2 linked regions of the Arabidopsis thaliana genome follow. The protein of the gene in region 1 interacts with the protein of each later gene in a biochemical or structural test. Each region holds a gene or a part of one and is shown on either strand. Other genes may lie near its edges. The genes, in order: ANN5 and ACT1.

The links.
Region 2: the proteins of ANN5 (region 1) and ACT1 form a complex in vitro, tested with the Arabidopsis thaliana proteins (one study listed by BioGRID).

The regions. Positions count from the first base shown.
Region 1 is NC_003070.9:25,518,801-25,522,845, forward strand, and holds ANN5 (annexin 5), read right to left. Parts: upstream 2,096-4,045; 5' UTR 1,975-2,095; coding exon 1,899-1,974; intron 1,820-1,898; coding exon 1,674-1,819; intron 1,594-1,673; coding exon 1,375-1,593; intron 1,309-1,374; coding exon 1,093-1,308; intron 1,008-1,092; coding exon 918-1,007; coding exon of another isoform or gene 909-917; exon of another isoform or gene 846-908; coding exon 642-845; 3' UTR 505-641; downstream 1-504. Other genes in the region: AT1G68080 (2-oxoglutarate (2OG) and Fe(II)-dependent oxygenase superfamily protein), read left to right, coding at 111-440; IAR1 (ZIP metal ion transporter family), read left to right, coding at 2,525-2,840, 2,932-3,015, 3,157-3,206, 3,379-3,430, 3,563-3,685, 3,774-4,000.
Region 2 is NC_003071.7:15,777,070-15,782,362, reverse strand, and holds ACT1 (actin 1), read right to left. Parts: upstream 3,423-5,293; 5' UTR 3,036-3,422; exon of another isoform or gene 2,874-3,035; intron 2,613-2,873; 5' UTR 2,603-2,612; coding exon 2,543-2,602; intron 2,407-2,542; coding exon 2,013-2,406; intron 1,913-2,012; coding exon 1,299-1,912; intron 1,188-1,298; coding exon 1,122-1,187; 3' UTR 802-1,121; downstream 1-801. Other genes in the region: AS1 (myb-like HTH transcriptional regulator family protein), read left to right, coding at 1-565; AT2G37610 (uncharacterized protein), read left to right, coding at 4,690-4,799, 5,119-5,293. UniProt on the Arabidopsis thaliana protein: Actins are highly conserved proteins that are involved in various types of cell motility and are ubiquitously expressed in all eukaryotic cells.

The sequences.
Region 1 (4,045 bases):
TTTCTTCGAGGTCGTTAGTGATTAGTTGATATAGTAAATGTCTTGTTAAACGGGCTTCCTTTCATCATATATAATCAAATGCTTATTTCTTCTCTTTTGCTGGATAATAGGTTGTTCAGTTCTACCATTGGAAAGCTTCTGAACTCGTAACTTCTAATGTCGAAAATGACACATTAGAAGAGGTGAAAGCTATGTCCCACTCTCAGTTGGAAACTATCAATGCCCTGAAATCAGTTTTCCTGCTAGATGAGAACCTCGTAGCCACAACTTTTGGATATTCGTGCTCTGGTGAGGATCGAAAGGATTCACTCGACTTGACGGGTATAGCTCTCGCGGTTACCTCTTGGGAAGAGTATAGCTGTAAGTTACTCAAGGAGCTATTATCATCCTTGCCTCAATGGAAAACTTATCAAACTATACACAAAGTGGAATCTGATTAGAAATGAATTCTGAGTTACTGTTGAATTGAGTAGTTAACAACTTGAAAGTGATTCTCTTGGCTTCAAAGAACAGCTTCTCAATTATCTCTTTGTTTGATCTTACACATAATCATGTTATAATATCCTTCAAGATTGTTGCAAGTAATTTTGTAAGATACAGAGAATCAAAGTTAATTTTGGGATTGGATACAGAAAGAGATCTCAAACGTTGGGGCCTAAAAGAGAGAGGAGAAAAGTCCTGTAATGACTAGTTGTATCAGAATGAACAGCATTGTACAAAGTCTTCTTGTATCTCTTACGGTATTCTGTGATGATGAACTGCATATCCACCTCTGCTCTCGTCACCACGATTCTTATCAACGCCGTGTCATCTGTTCCTAATCCTTTCATTGATTTCCTCAATGCCTGCGCTTTCAGTTTTCGTTTTGTAAACTCGAAACCCTACATTGTTGTCTAAGAAAGGTTAGGTTACGTTACCTTTGCGAAATAGAAACAAGAGTTTTCAGCACATTGTAAAATTGTTAGAAGGACATGCTCGAAGTTCCCGCGAGTCTCATCTCTTATGGCCTATCAAGATTGGAGAAAGAGAAGATCAAGATTTTGGAAATTTTCTGATTCTTGAGTAACAAGTTTCTGGATCTTGATTATATACCTTTCCAAGTTCTTTGCCGTACATGGAACGGTAAGTAGATCTTACAGCGACCAAATGAGTCCTGCTTCGGTCAGTGAATATCTGAATCAACGTCTGGTCATCAGATTTATGCTTCCTTGCAACCGCGCTCTTGAGAGTCCTAGCATCGTTCTCTACACTCGCATTATCGATCTCTGGTCCTTCATATCGCGTAGTGTTCAAATACGCGAGCAAAACCTGTTACATATTACAATTTCTATTACTATTTGAACCAAAAGCATGGATCAAATAGAGAAAACATACTCTTTTGTGATTGCCAGAAGCTTCGGATTCGATGTCCTCTTCAAGTTTCACACCGAAAGTGTTTGAGTAGACCTGTTTGATCTGACGAAGCTGAGAGCCAGATCGTGTGCATATAATCTCAGCAATCGCTTTATGATCAGTCACGGCTCCTCTTAAGGAGCGTTTCAGTATTGAAGCGTCTCGCTCCACTGCTTCAGGCATCCACAAAAGAACGGCTTTCTGAAATCAAAAACGTTTTCAAAATGTTGTCTGCTAAAATCATGAATAAAAGTTTTTTTGTAAGGCTAAGATTTATTTACCTTGAGATGACCATGAAGCTCAGAGTGGAGACGTTTTCGGAGGTCATCCGAGAATTTGGTTTCGTATTCTTGTTCGATGAGAGCTCGTTGTGTTGCATTGCGATGAGCTAAGATGTTGATGATCACCGAAGTATCGCAGCCTCTTCCTGCAAATTGCGAAAATATAAACTAAAATGTAACAAAACAAGTTGTTATAAACTACATAAGAAGCGAATGCGTACGTACCTTTGAAGGCCTTAAAGAGTTGGTCAGCATCGACTCGAGGAGAAGGTACCGTCATTGGTATTTTCATTGTTGCCATTTTTTCTTTCTTCCTCTAAAGATTCCGAAGAAGATATTGTAAAACTCTATACCTTTCTTCTTTCTTTTTTTTGTTGTATTCTCTTGATTTTGTTTTTTCTTTTGTTTTGTTGGTGTGGTGTGATTTGTGGCGATTGGGTTTTGGGTTGAAATATGCAAAGGAAATGGACATTAGACCTTGATTTTAGGAGTTGAATCCTCTGTTTCATTCGTGTAACGATGGATGCTTTGATGCATAAAATTTAACGGATAACATTTTTTAGGATCCGATAGATATCTCTATGTTTCATGATTATCATCAACATAAAGACTTTTATAAGAGTTGTGTAGAGTCTGTAGCCTAGTAAAAGGGGGTTTTCGACTTAATTTCGAAACAATGGGCCAAAACTACAAATTATAAAAAGATCTCCTAAGGTTTATTACTTTCCCCAAATGGATGTTGTCACTTTCGGAATCATAATCGGAATTATCATTCTCTTCTTCTGCATCGTCTGCTTCATCACTATTGAAGGCACTCGCTTCAACCGTCGCTCTTCTTAGCTCACTCAGAGATGTCGTTCTCGCTGAGAAAGCTACTGGTTCCGATTCTGGTTTTGGTACTGTTTCTGGATCTGTGCGTTGAATCCGGATTCTCTCAGTCAACGCCGGCGCGTGACGATCACGTGCATCATCACGGTGGTGGGTGTAGTCATTCTCATGACCACGACCACGACCACGATCATGATCATCATGTGAAGAAGACGACGGCGAAGGTGGAGATGAAGTTGCCGGAGGAGCTTGCTGAAGAGGAGGATATGAGATTATGTGGGTTTGGGCCTTGTCTTCATGATCACGATCACGAATCAAGTTCCACTCTTACGGGGTTTGGTAAATTTGGTTCCTTTAGCTACATTCTTCATTGGGTTTTACAAATCATTACTTGATGATTAGAATCTCTTCTTCTTGTTGGTTTTTGTAGCTCTGTGGCTTAATGCATTGGGATGCTCTCTTTTAGTTAGCTTGGCCTCACTCATCTGCCTTGTTTTGCTTCCCATTATGTTTGGTAAGCAATTTTTTGTATACCTATGAAAACCAAAAAGCATTGCTTTTAATTGTCCTGGAGAAAATGCTCTCTTTCGTTTATTCATGTGCTATAATGTGTTCATGAGAGTAACTGTTTCAAGTCTTATGTTGCAACTAACAGTTCAAGGGAAGCCATCAAAATGGTTCGTTGATTCTTTGGCTCTCTTTGGGGTAAGTCATTAGACTGACTACAGTAGCTTTTTCTTTGGCGGTGGTGGTTCTGAATGCAAGAAAAATATTTTAGCAATATCTATACACTGTGTTTCGTCGCAACTTTATCACTTGGATGAGTTGGAAATGTTAATAATATATGATCTGTTGATTCAGTTAATTTGTTTACCAGGCAGGAGCTATGTTGGGAGATGCTTTTCTTCACCAACTGCCCCATGCTTTTGGTACAGTAATGGACACAAGTTTCTGATCTCTTTTTTAGTATCTGCATTGTTTCATAATTTGGCTTTTATGCCTTCTCATTTTGTTTGCTTTTATATCTTCCTGAAGTGCAAAATATATTTATGGTTTGGCAGGTGGTGGCCACTCTCACTCTAATGATCACCATGAGAACCATGACCATCATGATCATTCTCATTCGGATTCGCCTTCACACTCACATTCTATACAAGATTTGTCTGTTGGATTGTCTGTTCTTGGTAAGTATCATAACACTTCCTCTTGTGTTTATTGAACAAAATATTTTGACAGAATTGACACTTTCAATCATCATTCTTAATTATCCAGCTGGGATTGTGGTCTTCCTTCTTGTGGAGAAGTTGGTGCGGTATGTCGAAGAAAACTCATCTGGGTCCAATACTTGGGGTCATCATCACCACCACCACCATGCAGGCAGTAAGAAACTGAAGGATGAAGGCGATCATAACAACTTGGACCAACAATCTTCTTCTGATGCAATTGTAAATTCATCAGAGAAAGTCTCTGGCGGCTCTACAGATAAATCTCTCCGTAAGGTGAGAACACACTTCTATGTAAATATTTCTACCTGCAGCAGATGA
Region 2 (5,293 bases), on another chromosome or scaffold:
GTTAGCTACTTCTAACAATGGGAACAATGTTGTTGCAAGGCCTCCCTCGGTAACTTTGACATTATCGCCTTCCACAGTGGCTGCAGCTGCGCCTCAACCGCCAATCCCGTGGCTGCAGCAGCAACAGCCTGAGAGAGCAGAGAACGGTCCAGGGGGACTTGTGTTAGGGAGTATGATGCCGTCTTGTAGTGGGAGTAGCGAGAGTGTGTTCTTGTCAGAGCTTGTGGAGTGTTGTAGAGAGTTGGAGGAAGGGCACCGAGCTTGGGCAGACCATAAGAAAGAGGCTGCATGGAGGCTAAGAAGGCTGGAGCTGCAGCTAGAGTCAGAGAAGACGTGTAGACAAAGGGAGAAGATGGAGGAGATTGAGGCAAAGATGAAAGCTCTTAGGGAAGAGCAGAAGAACGCAATGGAGAAGATCGAAGGAGAGTACAGAGAACAGCTCGTTGGTTTGAGGCGAGACGCAGAGGCCAAAGACCAGAAACTGGCTGATCAATGGACCTCTAGGCATATCAGACTCACCAAGTTTCTTGAACAACAAATGGGTTGCAGATTAGACCGCCCCTGAACCGTCTCCTAAACTCTTTGTTGTAACTTGTAATGTAATGTAAGGTTTTTTTTTTGTTTTTTTTTGTTTTTTTTTGTCTTTGATCATTTGGGTGTCTCCAATGTTTACTTAGACTTTTGGGTTCCTTACCTCAGCTTTGTATTTGTTTCTTTTACCTTTGTGTTCCATTTATCACTTCAGTTTATCCATGGCTTTGTTTTCTCAAGCTTGATGTTGATTTAGTCAGCTGCAACACTTTGGTTTATAAATAAAATCGATTTATATCTTTACATGTGTAAATTCAAGTAGAAGACAGAAAACAAATTGTTACATAATAATTGAAAAATTGAAGAGGAAGAGGTGTGTACTTATTCACTCAAAAACACAGTTGCATTAGATTTTAAACCATACTACAAACAGATTACCATAAATCCATGAAAATGTATTTGGCATGAATTTCAAAACATAAGAGAACAAAAACAAAGAGCAGAATAACGGAAGATTAAAAACCCGGCTTGAGAAATGGTCGGAAAAACCCTGGCGGTGCTTCTTCTCTGAAAAATGATCAACTTTGAACTCAGAAGCACTTCCTGTGAACAATCGATGGACCTGACTCGTCATACTCTGCCTTTGCGATCCACATCTGCACAAGGTAACACATAGTTTCAGAATTGAACCAGTTTAGTTAAGCTGAGAGTGATTAGGATTTAGTTTAGGTCTGTTTAGAGTAAACAAGTGATGGGACTGTGTGTACCTGCTGGAAGGTACTGAGGGAGGCCAAGATGGACCCTCCAATCCAGACAGAGTATTTCCTCTCTGGAGGGGCAACGACTTTGATCTTCATGCTGCTTGGAGCCAAAGCAGTGATCTCTTTGCTCATTCTGTCGGCGATTCCAGGGAACATTGTGGTTCCACCACTGAGCACAATGTTACCGTACAAGTCCTTCCTGATGTCGACATCACACTTCATTATGGAGTTATAGGTGGTTTCATGGATACCAGCATTCTCCATACCAATCATAGATGGCTGGTAAAGAACCTCAGGACAACGGAATCGCTCTGATCCAATGGTGATCACTTGCCCATCAGGTAGCTCGTAGTTCTTCTCAACAGATGAGCTGGTTTTGGCTGTCTCGAGTTCCTGCTCGTAGTCAAGAGCAATGTAGCAAAGCTTCTCCTTTATGTCTCTGACAATTTCACGCTCTGCTGTGGTGGTGAAAGAGTAACCACGCTCGGTTAGGATCTTCATCAGCGCATCCGTGAGGTCACGACCAGCAAGATCAAGACGTAGGATAGCATGTGGAAGTGCATACCCCTCATAGATAGGAACAGTGTGGCTCACACCATCTCCAGAGTCGAGCACAATACCTGCACATCCACAATTCAAGAAAGGCTTTACGTTTTGCTCTGCAAAAATGTACAAAGATCGAAGCTTTACACCATAAGGACACAAAAGCGCTACACTCACCGGTAGTACGACCACTGGCATAAAGAGAAAGAACAGCCTGAATAGCCACATACATAGCAGGGGCATTGAAAGTCTCAAACATGATTTGAGTCATCTTCTCACGATTAGCTTTCGGGTTAAGCGGTGCCTCGGTAAGTAGAATAGGATGTTCCTCAGGAGCAACACGGAGCTCATTGTAGAAAGTGTGATGCCAAATCTTCTCCATGTCATCCCAATTGTTGACAATTCCATGCTCAATAGGGTACTTGAGAGTTAAAATACCTCGTTTGGATTGAGCTTCATCGCCAACATAAGCATCCTTTTGCCCCATCCCAACCATCACACCGGTGTGACGAGGACGACCCACAATACTAGGAAACACAGCTCTAGGTGCATCATCCCCAGCAAAACCAGCCTATTCCAATACAAAAGAACATCATCATCTTAAACAAAAAAAAACAAATGCTACATTGTTCAGAGGATCATCAATCAAAAATTGAAAAAAAGATGAAAACTTTTGTCAAAAAAAACAGAGAGAAAGAATGACACACCTTAACCATTCCAGTTCCATTGTCGCAAACAAGAGGTTGAATGTCTTCACCATCAGCCATTTTCTTCTACCTTTATGCAAAACCAAACATTGTTTAAAGATCAAATTTTTATCAACAAATAACAATCCTTTTTCACCAATACAGATACAAAGAACAATCCTTTTTCAAAGACAAATCAATACAGGACAAAATGGAAGAAGAAGAAGGATATTCTGGATCCAGAATCATGTAAATATTATAAAATTCAATCAGAAAAATTATATTAAAGACATTTGAAAAACATGAGTCTTTTGGTTGATTAAACAAATAACAAATGGTGTAATGAACATACGCATGAGTAAAATCGATAAACAACAGATCGAAAAGATTAGCTCAAGACACCCAGATCCAAAAGAAACTCAGAAACGGATGAATTGAAATCGATGCGGGATCAAAAATCAAACGTAATTGGGGTGTGTGTTCGAAAATCACAACAAAGGGTCTCAAAAAGTACCTGAAATCGAGAGGAAAAAAAGTAGAGATAGAAAAGTTTGTAGTGGCTGGAAAATGAAAGAGGGGAAGAAGAAGAAGGGAGGAGGAGGAAGGAAGGATTGAAGGAGAAGGGAATGGGAGGAGTAAATATAAAAACGGGTCCAAAGGCTTCGACTTCGGCTCACCTTGTTTTCCGGTTCTATATTTCATTTCAAATCCAGTCCCCCAAAACAATAACAACTTGAAATGACGGTTTTACCCTTTTATTTTTGAAAAATATTTTTGTAACTATCAATTTTCTGTAAAGGCTATAAAACCTCATAAACCAGACTCCATCAAATCGGAGTAAATAAACAATTCATTTATTTTTTTTACATAGTAAACAAGAATAAGCAGACCAAAAGTTTTTGGTGGTAGTAGTGTCTACATAAAAAAAATATCAAGGAGTTGCAAACTTGCAACTATATAAGCAATGATAAAAAGCATGCAACTCATGTCGTTGAAAACAAAAAGCATGCATTTCTTATGTGAAAATTTCGCATGGGCTTTACTCACCCAAAATTGGCATTACTTCCGCATGGGCCGAGCATATTTGTTCAATCCACTGGACACAAATATATGATTACCCATTTAAATTTGTGTATAGTTGTAATTACTAATTAGTATACAAATATTACTGTGATTTGTGATAACAAATTGCAACAATGTTAGAAACTTCCAAATATGATTTTGTATAAGGCTATAAGCATTTTACTTACTTATTAAAATTTTAAACTAATCTGCATTTTAATTTATGTTTTCATTTATAGTCTGAAGAAAATAATAATAATTGGCCTTTTTTCCATTAGTGTGACTGCATAAATTATGAAACGATTAAAATACATTTTCATGATATTTATAGCTTATATAAAAAGTTGCTAGAGATTTAGGATTAGTATATGTTGAAAGTAGAATCTCATATCTCACTAAATTATCCCTAGGCTGTTTAAATCTGACATTGAACCAATTTAGTAATGGAATGATTCAATACGACATTTTTTTGAATTTGGACCTCTAATTAATTTGACATTGCTTAGAGACATGTACAAAGAAAATTAATTTTAAAGAGAGCTTTCATAGTGAAGAGTCCATCAATACTTTAAAGATGGTTCACAAGCGTGTATCTGATGTCATTTTCAGTTTTTCACCATCGCCTCCAAGCAAATATGTATTGAAAGGTCATCCACACTTTTAAAAGCTCTATCATGTATTTTCTTAATTTGCTTCCAATTTCACAAGCGATTTCCTATTCTTAAATGAAATAAATATCATGAAATCACCAAAGTTAAGACAAAAAAATGAATAGGGAAGAAAACTTTCTTACATTCATTTCTTAACATTTACACCAAAAAACTTTCTTACATTCAACTAAACAATATTTAGATTTCTTACATAAAATGTTTATCCTAATTATATATATATAGAAGAATACATTTAGTCCGGTTGAGGAAAAATATTTATCTAAACTGATCATAGAAGTCATTAATGTAAAACTATAAGAGTGGGTCTCCTCCTTATAAATACACAAAAGTTATTAGCAATAAGATTAGGTGGTAATAAATATGAGTTAGATACGTAATTAAAGTCTAACGGCAACAAATATATTTTTTTCCTCCTGAGAAGAAAAAAAAGCGCACATGGAGATTGGAAACGTAAAGGCAGATGTCAATTTGGTGCTTAACTTGCGAGAAGCAGAAAGGCATCGGCGATATTTTGATTACTTTATCGACGAGATATTATGGTTATCGTAACGGTATTATGTCGAATAATGTCTCCTTCTCAATGAATCAGAGGGTTTGGTTACGTTATGTATGCCTTTAGACTCTCCTTACCACATCCAACAATACACAACAAACTCGCTCTAATCTCCGACTATAAATAAACCTGAAAAATAATTTAATAAAAAAACAAAAGCTGACAATTTTCTTGATTAATATTCTTTACCACGTTGGATCTATCTACATCGATCAATCATTATTTCTTCTTCTTATTCTTCTCATTCTCTTCTCTCTCTCTATCTAGGAACAAGAGTTTTTTTTTTGGGTGCCATTTCTTGATTTTTATAGATTTTTAGGTATGTCGGAGACGAGCTTGAAAGAGGAAGAGGTAACGTTAGGTGGTGTTAAAGAGACGAGAGAAGAAGAATGTTCCGACGATAAACTTGTGTTGGATATTTGTCTGAAAAGGAAGAGATTAGATGAAGAAGAAGAAGAAGAAGTTGTGGAGGAAGAGAATGATGGG